3 linked regions of the Mus musculus genome follow. The main gene of each other region encodes a partner of the protein of the gene in region 2 in a complex. Links are inferred from orthologs where the notes say so. Each region holds a gene or a part of one and is shown on either strand. Other genes may lie near its edges. The genes, in order: Elmo1, Dock5 and Rhog.

Region 1 (3,500 bases), on a different chromosome or scaffold from region 2:
AATAGGAAGTAACTAAGGCCTGCTAACAGTAGGAGAAACAGTCTTCACCAGGGAGAGTTCATCAGCTAACTATCCAAGACCGACTAGTCAGCCCGGAAATCATCTCTACAAGTAATAGTATATGGACGAGCAGGTTGTATTTATGTATTTAGGAGTTCAAATACAGATACATGCAACAACACTTAAAGCAAAGGAGGCCATGAATTTGAAAGCAAGGGAGGTGGGTGTATGGGAAGGCTGGGGAGAGGGAAGGAGGAGGGCAATACTCTTTTTATGTTATAATCTAAAACATAAAACATTATAATTAAAAACTTAAATTTGCTGAGTAGAACAGGCTAGATAGAAAGCAACTAATATCTTTTTTCTGCTCATCAACTCTTTGTAGAAGAGTCAACTTAATAAAAACAGGAAGCAGAGGGGTGATTTATAGAAACCCAGAAGGGATTGGAGGGATAGGAGGAGAGCAAATATGGTTTCAGAGGGCACAGAAATTCAGTCTGGCCACATACAAGGAGGCCTGAAGATACATGCAGTGGGGTTATAACAATGTGAATGTAGTTAATGGATAAAGTGATTAATTATGTTATGCGCCATTTATTCAACGAGGGGAAGTGTTTACAAATGAAGCGTGTTGCTCCATATTAAGAGCACTGATCTCCCTCGCTCCAAGTGGCAAAACAATTGTCTTGTCTCCCTTGTACTACACCAATCTTGGTTTTCAGAGAAAAAGCACGGGGCACAATCATTGGCCTATGCAAGCCTCTCCTTCAGTCTTACTCACATGGCCTCTCAGCATGAATGGAGGGCCGCAGCAGCCACACGCCCCACATGTGCAGCTCAGCATCTGCAGCAGATCAGGCCCTCACGTGCCAATAGCGAATGTTTTCCTTTCCACAGCTGCACCACTATTTGAGTTGAAAATGTGTACAGCAGGGGCGGGGCTCCCAGCTGCTTCCTCCCTCTACCCTCCTGCAGGGAAGCTCCCCCCAAAGCCTTCTGGGTGGAAACAGAATGTTTTGTACACAGTGACAGAGGTAGCAGGGAGTTAGAAAAACTGGCCAGCCAACAAAAACACAGGCCTAGAAATGAGGGTGCACGGGAGAAAAGGACAAACTGCCTTTGGTCTTAGATACTGGAGAATGCAAACCACTCCCACTTGTAGAATCAATGCTACTCAAGGCCTTGAATGCCCTCAGCTGTATGGGAACTTGACCCCACTTAATGTAATATGGTCAAGAGCCCAGGGCTTTAACCTCAAGCTCTTAAATGTAAAGGAAAAACATGCATGCATATGGAACCTCATGGACTAGCCCTTCCATTTTATTCTCTGATCTTAGGGTCACCTAAACTTTAAAGCAATATGTCCAAGTTCTGAGATGTCAAGAAAACAATTATGGGATCATATAAGACTCCGGATTTGAGGGTAGCTAAAGGACAGACATTTGATGCACTGTCTCTGTCTCTGATTACATTTGTGTGGAGCATCCACCTACCTGGTCCTGGGGGTCCATCTTAGTCATCATCCTGTCTTCCAGAAGGTTAAAGGTCAGCACTTGGAGAACATATAACTGGTGTGCCATCTCATTGTTGATGGCCCGCTGTGCTCGGATGACATGCTAGAGACATTGTGGACAAATTACATTTTTTAAAATTATTAAAGAAAAGATTCAGAGCACAAAGTTAACCCTAGCCATGATTCTGAAGTTCTGGCATGTGAGAACTTCCTTACCCTGCAGAACCTGCACTCCAGCACAAGCCCCAAACAGTTTGTAGAGATAAGATAGCAGAAGTATTTTTATATGCAAACTAGGAGGGCTATGGCCATCTTCCCAGTGTCCCAAACACCCAAAGCCAGGTACCCTGAGACTAGACACAACCTATAAACACCGTAGCCTACAGAAAGCACCGAACTAGCCATTCCTGAACCTGAGTGTCACATGGCTGGAGTGTGTTCTCTGAAGCATCCCTTCCCTAGGAAACCATAGTGAAGGCTGTGTCCCTCATTTCCATGCAGTTCTCTTATTTCCTGGGTCTGCCCTCTTATGTAACTACCGTGCTGTGGCACATTCCGCGCTGTAGAACATACCAATCCCTTGCTGAATTTTAAGTGAGAAGCTTTCTTTCCAATGCCTTTCAAAAAGCAATGGCCTTTTGATCTGTTTTCTTCTTCATATATAAAGAAGAATTTAAAACCTATATTTCGTGTGTGTGTGCGCATGCGTGAGTTAAGCTTGCTGAACTGTAGAATTACAACATCAGATTGGGTCGTTGCTGTTTGTTAGTTTCATAAGTATTAATCTTGCTTCCTTCCAATAACTGGTGAATAGCTCGGAAAAAAACCCTTCCTAAAGGGTTCATCTCTAAACGCTGACAAGATGACTTTGCAAACTTCTTTTCCCCTGAATTTTAAGTCCCTTCTCCCAGAACCTCCCATATTTCCAACCACCTTCCTCATCAAAAAGAGCTCATACTGGTGGATTTTTTTTGAGCCAAGGAGTTTCTGATTTTCTTTGCCTGCACACCTAAGCTGAGGTGCACTAAATGTTTCCTTGCCTCGTCCAGCAGGCCGAGGCTGTGGCTGCAGCAGAGCACTGCCTGTGCCAGTTCTAAAGCATACTTCCCCTTCCTAGATTGGCCCTAGTGTTCAAACTCCAGTGTGGAACCACAGAAGAACCCACAGACACTAACTAGGACATTTCTCCCTAACATGGTGGATTCAGTGAACGGGGTACTCACTGTTAAAATGATGTAGCGCAGCTGCTTCTGAGCCAAAATATTCGCCATCTCCTGGGAAAGAAAACATGCCCACAAAGGCTTCCGTTAGAAAGGCTCACGTCAGGATGGCCAGAAGCTACCTCATCCTAGGGTGTGCTTCTCAACTGTATATCAGCAGTATTTCTTGGGAAATGGCCAATTCAAATTAATTTTTGTACATTCGGTTTGGATTATAAAATCCAGGACCAAAAGCAAAGTAGAATTTAAAAAAAAAAATGTCTGCTCTTTCTAAAAAAGAATTAAAAACGCAAACACTACAAAAGTGTCCCCACACCTCTGAGACTCTCTGTGTCTTTGATGGCTCTTATCATCATTACTTTTTTAAAACTTTATACATTTACTTATAAAGGAAGTACTGTTCAATAAGCAGGTCAACCAGAAGATGGAAAGAAAGAGTCAAAAGTCTAACGTCTGCTGAAGCCAGTCCTTTTAATCTGTACAAGCTGAAAATGAAGGGCACAGCCCCTAGATGTGGGGGAAATTATGCAAGTGAACAGAGTCCGGATTACTGAAGTCTGGATTATTGAAGGGCAGATGCTATGCAGTAGAGTTCACACCCACTTAGCAAAGCCTCTTTTCTGTATTTTGGGCTGTGGCACTTACTGACTGGTATAGAGGATTTGGGGCTAGCTTTATCAAATGGACTTGCAATAGCTAACGTCAGTTGTCAATGTGACACACCTAAGGAAAAGGGAACCTTAACTGAAGAACTGCTTCAACCAGAT
Region 2 (4,306 bases):
TTTTTTTAGAGTGTTTCCTTAGCCATTTTTAATTTCTTCTTTTGAGAACTGCTTAGTACAGTAGCTCAGTTTGTAGTTTGGTTGATTGCTTCCCTATTGCTTAGAATTTTTGGTGATTTTATTTTTCTAAATATTCAGTATTAAGTATACAATGAACATGTAACTTTAAATCACAAAGGAGATAAATGACACATTATGTAATCATACTCAACTTTAAGATCTCAACTATCAAGAATAAAAACTGGCATTAAAAAAAAAGAGATGCGACTGAACCACTTTAAGAAAGATGGCTGAAGCACGGTCATAAGTACCTATTGTTTCTTTCAACCAGGACTTTAAGTTCAGAACTTACTTTCTCAGGAGGAAAACCAAGACTAATATATATATATATATATTCAGGCATGGTTTGCAAAAAGTCATCAGAGTTCACTCATCTCTAATCAAGCATTACTGTCTATTACTGTGTGTTTTAATTACATGTTCTGTTCTTGTCAGGTTCCAAACCGGCAAGAAAGCCTCCACAGACTCCAAGAACAACACAATTTCCCGCAAGAGGTATTTTTCAGATGGCGAAGCTAACTGGTTGGCTGGTTAGTCTGAAATTTTACTTCTAAGTGTGAGGTGTCCTTACTACTAAGTAGCTTTTTCATTCTGGAGGTCTCTCCAAGATGGAAGCGCGTCTCCCCGCCGGCAGAGGGCGCCAAGCGCACCCCTGTGTAGTTTAACGCACAACTGCCTTTTGGAGTCCTCAGTCCCAGGCTGAAAAAGGACAGTGGTGGGAGTTGGGGGGTGGGGTGGTGGTGGTGGTGGTAGATGTTCTGGGGTCCTCCCCACAAGGATGCCTTCTGGGCAGGGGGTCAGTTGGAAAGGGGAACCTTTTGGAGCGAACTTCTTCCCTTAGTGTGAAAGTTTGTGTTGCTGCAACTGAGGAGAAATAAATCCCTGAGTTTGGGGTTTCCGGATTAGCGCTTTGTCAACAGTGTCCTAACGGAGGGTCTTCTAGATTGGATACGTCTACTTCTGAAGCGCCCGTGTCCCTTGCACCAGTTCTCTGCGGACCTTGAAGCTCGGCTTCCGGCTCTCTCGGGGCTGCAGCAGACGCTCCCGGAGGCGAAGGCGGGAGCTCACGGCTCATTCATTCAACAAATATTTACTGAGCGTCCGGAGGCGACCGGTGACTCTCACCAGCTCCTCCTCCGCGCTCGGCGGCGCAGCAGCCCGGGAGCGCTGGGCAATCGCAGAGCCGACGCTGGGAGGACCGGGCGGGCGGCTCCGGGCTGCGGCTCCAGCCGGGCGAGGCGGAGCCGGCGGGGGAGGCGGGCGGCCCCGGGGCGCAGAGGGCGCGGCCAGCGGGAGGAGCCCGGGCGGCGCCGGGGAGGGCGCGCGGGGCTGCACGGCCGCCGGTCCCAGCAGGTGACCGCGGGCGAGCGGGCGTGCGTGCGGGGCCCCGGGCGCGAGCGAGGCGGGACGGCGTAGACGCGGCCGGCGCGCCAAAGTCGTCCAAGTTTTGCCGGAACATGGCGGAGGAGTCCGGCCGGCGCAGCAGCGCTCCGAGCACGAGTGTCTGTAGCCGCTAGCGCCGCGGGGCGAGGTCGTCGCCATGGCCCGTTGGATCCCTACCAAGAGGCAGAAGTATGGGGTTGGTGAGTGCTTGCCCCGCCCCACCCTCGCCCGAGCGCCCGGGAGTCCACTTTGGCCCCGCGGAGCTCGCGCACACTCGGCCACTCGGTCCCGCTGCTGCACCCCGGGAGTCTAGCCCGCTCTGGTGTAAAAGTGCTTTTAGGCTTGGGGACTCTGATCCTCCCCTATCCGAACCCCAACTCTAGTGGCGCACACTGTGGGAACGCGCCAGGTCCCCACTGCCGTTGGTGGCCAGCGAGGGCCGCACGTGGGACGGTGCGCTTTGCGAGTGCCCTTCCCCAGATCCCACTTGGAAGCTCCAGAGTCCCTTTCCCTCTCTCCCTCCCTCCCTGGGACTGCAGTCCGGATCGCAGTCAAAGACAAAATGGGAAGCCGAAGTTGCCAGTAGAGGTGATGGAAGAGGCAGGAAGTGTGAGGCGTGGGAAGGAGGGCAAGGGGGTCCTGGGGCTGTTTGTGAGGACACCCATCTGACCTACTGGCGTGGTTGGAGAGGTGTGACACAGCTTCCCCCCAGGGGCAGGAAGAGGGTAGGTTCCGCGCAAGCGGGTGGCGTTTGTGTTCGCAGTACCCTAGCGCTCCGTCATTGCTGAACTCTGGCCTCTAGGTTTGGATCTGAAACCTTGGCGTTGAGGGGTTGGACCCAGGTGGAAAAACTTTCCACTTTCACTTTTCATTGAGCCAGGTCAGGGAGGAAGCACTCACCTTTAGCCGGACGATTGCCAGGAGAATTAGACTTTAAATGGAGCCTCTGGAATAAACAAGTGTGTTGTGTGGGAATTTTATCACTTTCTCTCAGGTCCACTCACTTGGCGCGTTTGAAATGCAACCCCTTACTTCACTCCTGTCAGCGCACCTCTTTTCCTTCAAGTCCTGGACCCACAGGAACACTGCCTGAAATTATCAGTCTGCCGTGACAGACATGAAGTCCTATGTGCCTATGTAACCGGGACTCAGACACCGCCTTCAGTCTTTAGTATATTATAATGTGATGCAGATTGAAAGCCTGCATATGTACATTTGCAAATATGTATATATACACACACACACACACACATATATATATGCATAATTCTCAACCTTTTTTTTTTTAATTTGTCTTTACTTTTAGAATTTTTGCTCCTCCACATGGCTGTGGGTTACATGGAAAGGTGACATTTCTTCAGTCCCAGATCAGTAGGTCTTGACTTAGCCTTGATAAGTAACTTGACTAGATACCTGCTAGTAAGTAGCTGGTCATTGTGTAAGTGAAATACTGTAAAATGGATGAAGGGTTGGGTGTGACAATCATAGAGCATGCCTAAAGCCCTGGCTTCCATCTTCTGTACCACAAGAGGAAATTAATTTATTTAAACATTATAGAGTACTAATTAATGACTAAAATATGCTTAGCAGTAACTAACCACTAATTATAAAAGGGTCATTTCTAACTTTACCTGGGTTAAAAGTTGTTCCCAACAAGTATGTTTCCGATGGGTTTGCTGTATGTAACCATAGGCACGGGAGTAAGAATGTTTCCAGTATTCCCGTGTTTTGGAGTCAGGTTTTTGGTTATTTATCAGTGGGCACTGAAAGTGTTCGGATAGTGTTTCTAGGGGACAGAGCTTAGCAGAGTTGTTCCAGGGTGTAATCTGGGGCAGTTACTTCACTAGACACAGCAGATCCTGGTAGGTATGGATGCTGAAGCACAGAATATGCGCTGACGTCAGGGATGAGTGTTCGTGGGAGGGGGCGGGTTCTGTGCTCTTGCATTTGGAAGCAGATGTACCTGGCTGCAGGGTCCAGTTGTCAGAGTCCCCACACTGAAGTCCCTCCCCCTTCTGTGAACTCTTCACTGTAGACAGTCCACTCATCTCTGTGGTTAGGTATTCTATGGAAAGTCACTTCTGTGGGACTTCACTCTCCTGTGCTTGTACCCCCATCTACAGGACACCCCTTCCCCCCACACATACACTGCATCCCACACCCCAGCCTTTTTTCCTTGGGGTTCAGTTCTGCCTTCTGCTTTCTTCCTTCACCTCTGCAGCTTTTCACTGCAATCTCTTGATCATACCTTACTTTCTTTCTTGCCTTATTCCCCCTCCCCTACCGGGTGCTATAGACTGCTAGCCTCTTCAGCAGAACAGCTGGGGCTACTGGCCAGAAGCAAATCAGCTTTATTGACTGTTAATGTAGGAAGGCTTAGTTAAGGAAGGTCACTGGTTTCTCTTCTGGGACCCCAGCCCTTCCCTCTGACCCCTTCTGACTAGTGGTTTGTGGGTGTTTTGTTTTGTTTTGTTTTGTTTTTGAGACAGGGCTTCTCTGGGTAGCCTTAGCTATCCTGGAACTCACTTTTGTAGACCAGGCTGGCCTCAAACTCCTGTGTTCAAACCTGCCTCCTGAGCGCTGAGATTAAAGTCATGTAACCACCATTCCCAGCATGACTAAGGGTATTAGTTCTTCCCTAATTGCACATACGTAAAGGGTGCAAGGGTATTTATCGGGAGGGGGAGTCGGTCATCCACGCTGGGGTGAGACTTTCTAGTGTTGAGGTTGCTTTGGGGTCACCTGCTCTTCTCGTGCTCAGTAAGGAAGCCCAGAGAACTCGTCATTGGCTCTCCCAAGTGTGACTTTTGATGGAATTGTACTTTGGTTTGTTCTATAAAGGGGGGTAGATGTTTGCTTATGT
Region 3 (3,720 bases), on a different chromosome or scaffold from region 2:
GGTTGGGGCAGGCTTGAGAGGGGTCCGTCCTACTCCTCATAAGTGCTTTCCCAACAGATCAGAAGGCAGTGGCTGTGCACTCCTGTGTGTCTAGCCCTACACTCACAGCTTTTCTGTGGTTGAGGAGACAGAAACCCAGCCTGCTATTTAAGGGGGCATCTACCACTTATGTACAGAGAAGGAGATCCACAGCCAAAGCAGAGTTAAAAGAGGTAACGATGCTATGGAGCCTTATGGAGTGGTGAGACTTAGCCTAGGCCCAGAAGAATGGGGAAGATTTGAAAGGGGAAAGGGAATAGCAACAGAAAGGAAAACAAGCATAAACTCTGAGAGACAAGAATGAGTAGGACTTGATAGGTGTGGTGCCCACCTTCAATCCCAGCATTTGGGAGACAGAGGCAAGTGGATCTCAGAGTTCAAGGCCAGCCTGGTCTACAAACTCCAGGCTAGCTAGGGCTACACAATGAAGCTGTCTTGAAAAAGGAGGAGGAGAAGGGATAAGAAGAGGAGAATGACGGAGACTTGCTTTACAAACACCTTGTAGACCCTTTTGGAGCAAGGGAGCTAGGAACTCATAAGTACCTATATCATGCAATACTGTATATTAATGCACTTAAGCTTTATAGTAACCCCGTGAGAGAGTACTGCTGTAGCCACAATTGAGAGATAAGGAAAATGAAGATTAACGAGGCAATTCATTCTAAGTCCAGGGTCACACAACTGATAAGTGGTGGGAAAAAGAGTTTAAATCCAGGTCTGTATGATTCTAAAACCCCTCACAATTGAATGACAAAGTGAGAATCCAGGCATGAGTTTAAGTAGTTAAAGGAAGCTTATCTGACCCACTTCAGCCAGAGAATTTGAGGGAAAAGACTTGCCATACAGCTGGAGATAGCATGCCAAAGACAAAGTACTTGCCCAGCATGTGTGAAGCTCTAGGTTCAATCCTCACTAATGCTAACAACAACAACAAGATAATAAAATAAAGGTGAAAAGAGAATAGTTGTATTGGGAAAGGGGGAAAGTTTGAACTGGGAGTAAGTAGGGAGCAACTAGATCCTACTCACACATGCGCATATGTCATGCTTATTGCCTGTAGGGATGGAAGGCTTTGCTCTTGTCGCTGCCAATGTACATGGCACGAGATAATTTACAAAGTAGAATGCACCCTCATTCTGTACCCTCATGAGGCCAGGAAGGCGAGTGTTATGGCTGTTGCTGTAGATGAAGAAACTGAGGCTGACGTAAAGGAAATGACTAATTTGTTCAAGGCTCCACAGTTATCTGGGAGCCATCAGATACAGTGAAAAAAACTTGGGGCTTTGGATCACAGAGCTAAGTTTGTGTCCTGGCTCCCATACTCTAAGTAGCTGTGTGAGGTTAGATTACTTTTAACAGTTAGGGTTAGGGTGTTTTATTGAGGATCTAGGTCAGCAGGGTGAGCTCAGTGGGTCAGATTCAGGTATCTGGTGCTCTTGATCATATGCCACACTAAGTCATTCATAATCCTTTTCCGGTGCCAGCCTGGAAGCTACTCTCCCTCCCCACTCCTGTGAGGGCTGACTTACTGATCGCTGGTTGATAACCACCTCCCTAGAGAGCCTGTTGCACTTTTGGTCTCTTGGGCCTGTGACTGCTGGCTAACATTCCCTCCTTGCCTTCCTGTCTGTGCAGCCCATTGCTGGATTTGAGGGGGCCATAGTCTTACTGCCACTTCATCCGCTTCTGAACGGACCTGAAGATTTCAGGCCCAGGAATTCTGCTGTGAAATGCCAGGACCCAAATAATACAATGGACACAACTAATGATCCATGTTAGGATACCAGAAAATAGATTTCATTCTGAAGTTTTCCTATGTGTGCATATTTTATACACACAGTCACCCCCATTCCCTCTCCTCACCCCTTCTGTCTACACATTGCCCTTCCTCTTCCCAAGTAGTTCCCCTTCTGCTTCTCTCTCTCTCTCACACACACATACACACACATATTTAAAATATATTTAAATTTAGATTTCACATATGAACTATGAATCTTTTCCTCTGTAGGCCTAAGTCTTTTTTGTTTCGAGGCAGGTTTTTATTATGTATCTCTGATAGGCCTAGAACTCACTAGGTAGACCAGGTTGGTCCAAAGCTTGCATAATCCTGCCTCTGCTGCCTGAATGCTGGGATTACTGGTAAACTTACCCCGTCTAGCTTGTTTTACTTCATTCACCTAGTGCCCTTGTTGTAGATTTCTTAAGATTTATTTTTTAATTATGTGTATTTGTGTCTGTCTGTCTGTCTATATGTTTTTTCATACAAGTGTCAATAGGCTTCCCTGGAGCTGGAGTGACAGGCAGTTATGGAGCTGCTCAGAGAGGGTCGGGGCTGGGAATTGAACTCAGGTGTTCTGCAAGGCAGTACCTGCTCTTAATTGCTGAGCCATCTCTCCAACCCTGTCATAGACTTTCTACTTCATTACCTGAAAAGAGAAACTGAGGCCCAGACAGATAAGTGCCCAGTGCTTGGCCGCAGTGAGTCCGAGAGCTGCAGTAGAATTAGGTCTGTGGTCTTGCAGCTTGAGACTCCCTCTGCTACCCTGGAGGGCCTTATGTACATCTGCTACCCACTCTGAGGGACGACTGCTGACTCTCCTGAGCTTGAACACGCACTCGTTTACAGCAGATGGGAATCCTGTTGGTGGGAGTGAGAAGTTACCTCATCCAGTTGCACCATTTCCCTCCCAGCTGGTCCGAGAAGAGAGCGTTCTGGGAGAGAACCAGTCCCAGAGGTTGGGTCCATTGAAGCCTCACAGCACCAAAGTTCCATCATTTCTGCTTCCCAGCAATGGGTTGCCCTGGTGCCATCATGCATATTGACTTTGACTTTTGAGGCTTTGGAACAAATCCTGAGAGACTAATGAGAGGAGTCCATAAGTAGTTCGTTAATGATCTAACAGATCCCTGTACTGAGGAAGAACAAAAGTTGACCAGGTACTATCCTCAGTGCTTTAAAAGTAATGACTAATCCATAACATAAGTACATGCTGTAGGTATTATGTCCATTTCACAGGTAAAAATACTAAGGTTTGAAGAAGTAGTTTTTCCACTGTCATTGCTAGAAACAGGGATTCGACATTAGGCTGGTACCAGAGCCCATATAATGCTGCAGATTTGCAACATCTTGCTCAGTACCTCTCCTTGTTTCAATGTTTATTTAGGGTGGGGGTTCAAGACAGGATTCCTCTGTGTGACAGCTCTGGCTGTCCTGGAACTCTCTCTGTAGACCAGGCTGTCCTCAAACCCACAGAGATAGGCCTGCTTCTGCCTCCCAAGTGCTGGGACTAAAGGTGTGCGCCACCACACCCAGCATCTCCCCTTCTTTCTGATGTTTGTCTTGATGGGATAGGGATGACACCAGGATAACTGAACAAGAAGTGGTTTTTCTTTTGTCTTCATCTTTTCTTCTCAGTAGGTACAGGTCTCCTAAATCATGAATGTCCCTCTCATCTCTCCACAGGTCACTACTTCAGTGGGGTCCAGAAGAGAGAGGAGGCACTGCCTCCACGACAGTAACTTTACAGCACAATGCAGAGCATCAAGTGTGTGGTGGTGGGCGATGGGGCCGTAGGCAAGACGTGCCTTCTCATCTGCTATACAACTAACGCCTTCCCCAAGGAATACATCCCCACTGTGTTTGACAATTACAGCGCCCAGAGTGCGGTTGATGGGCGCACC

What was found.
Region 1: the proteins of Dock5 (region 2) and Elmo1 are in contact, whole or in part, in a cryo-EM structure (PDB 8JHK), measured with the Homo sapiens proteins. The link is inferred for Mus musculus from reciprocal best matches to the Homo sapiens genes DOCK5 and ELMO1. Residues at the interface, in NP_079216.4 of Homo sapiens: Met1, Ala2, Arg3, Trp4, Val14, Ala15, Ile16, Tyr17, Asn18, Ser22, Gln23, Gln30, Ile31, Gly32, Asp33, Thr34, Glu39, Tyr41, Gly43, Trp44, Arg46, Tyr48, Lys56, Ile58, Pro60, Glu61, Thr62, Tyr63, His65, Leu66; in NP_001193409.1 of Homo sapiens: Ile7, Val8, Lys9, Ala11, Tyr18, Pro19, Leu21, Glu23, Glu36, Asp39, Gly40, Ser42, Asn71, Gly72, Gln392, Asp393, Leu400, Glu401, Lys468, Arg531, Glu535, Leu536, Lys539, Leu547, Gln550, Gln551, Asn554, Arg555, Asn582, Thr688.
Region 3: the proteins of Dock5 (region 2) and Rhog are in contact, whole or in part, in a cryo-EM structure (PDB 8XM7), measured with the Homo sapiens proteins. The link is inferred for Mus musculus from reciprocal best matches to the Homo sapiens genes DOCK5 and RHOG. Residues at the interface, in NP_079216.4 of Homo sapiens: Val232, Phe345, Asn393, His394, Lys395, Gly396, Trp400; in NP_001656.2 of Homo sapiens: Ala121, Pro123, Leu126, Arg127, Arg128, Lys130.

What each region holds. Positions count from the first base shown.
Region 1 is NC_000079.6:20,286,007-20,289,506, reverse strand, and holds part of Elmo1 (engulfment and cell motility protein 1), read right to left. Parts: intron 2,788-3,500; coding exon 2,737-2,787; intron 1,617-2,736; coding exon 1,494-1,616; intron 1-1,493. UniProt on the Homo sapiens protein: Involved in cytoskeletal rearrangements required for phagocytosis of apoptotic cells and cell motility. Acts in association with DOCK1 and CRK. Was initially proposed to be required in complex with DOCK1 to activate Rac Rho small GTPases.
Region 2 is NC_000080.6:67,930,629-67,934,934, reverse strand, and holds the start of Dock5 (dedicator of cytokinesis protein 5), read left to right. Parts: upstream 1-1,362; 5' UTR 1,363-1,600; coding exon 1,601-1,643; intron 1,644-4,306. UniProt on the Homo sapiens protein: Guanine nucleotide exchange factor (GEF) for Rho and Rac. GEF proteins activate small GTPases by exchanging bound GDP for free GTP. Along with DOCK1, mediates CRK/CRKL regulation of epithelial and endothelial cell spreading and migration on type IV collagen.
Region 3 is NC_000073.6:102,240,095-102,243,814, reverse strand, and holds part of Rhog (rho-related GTP-binding protein RhoG), read left to right. Parts: intron 1-3,502; 5' UTR 3,503-3,570; coding exon 3,571-3,720.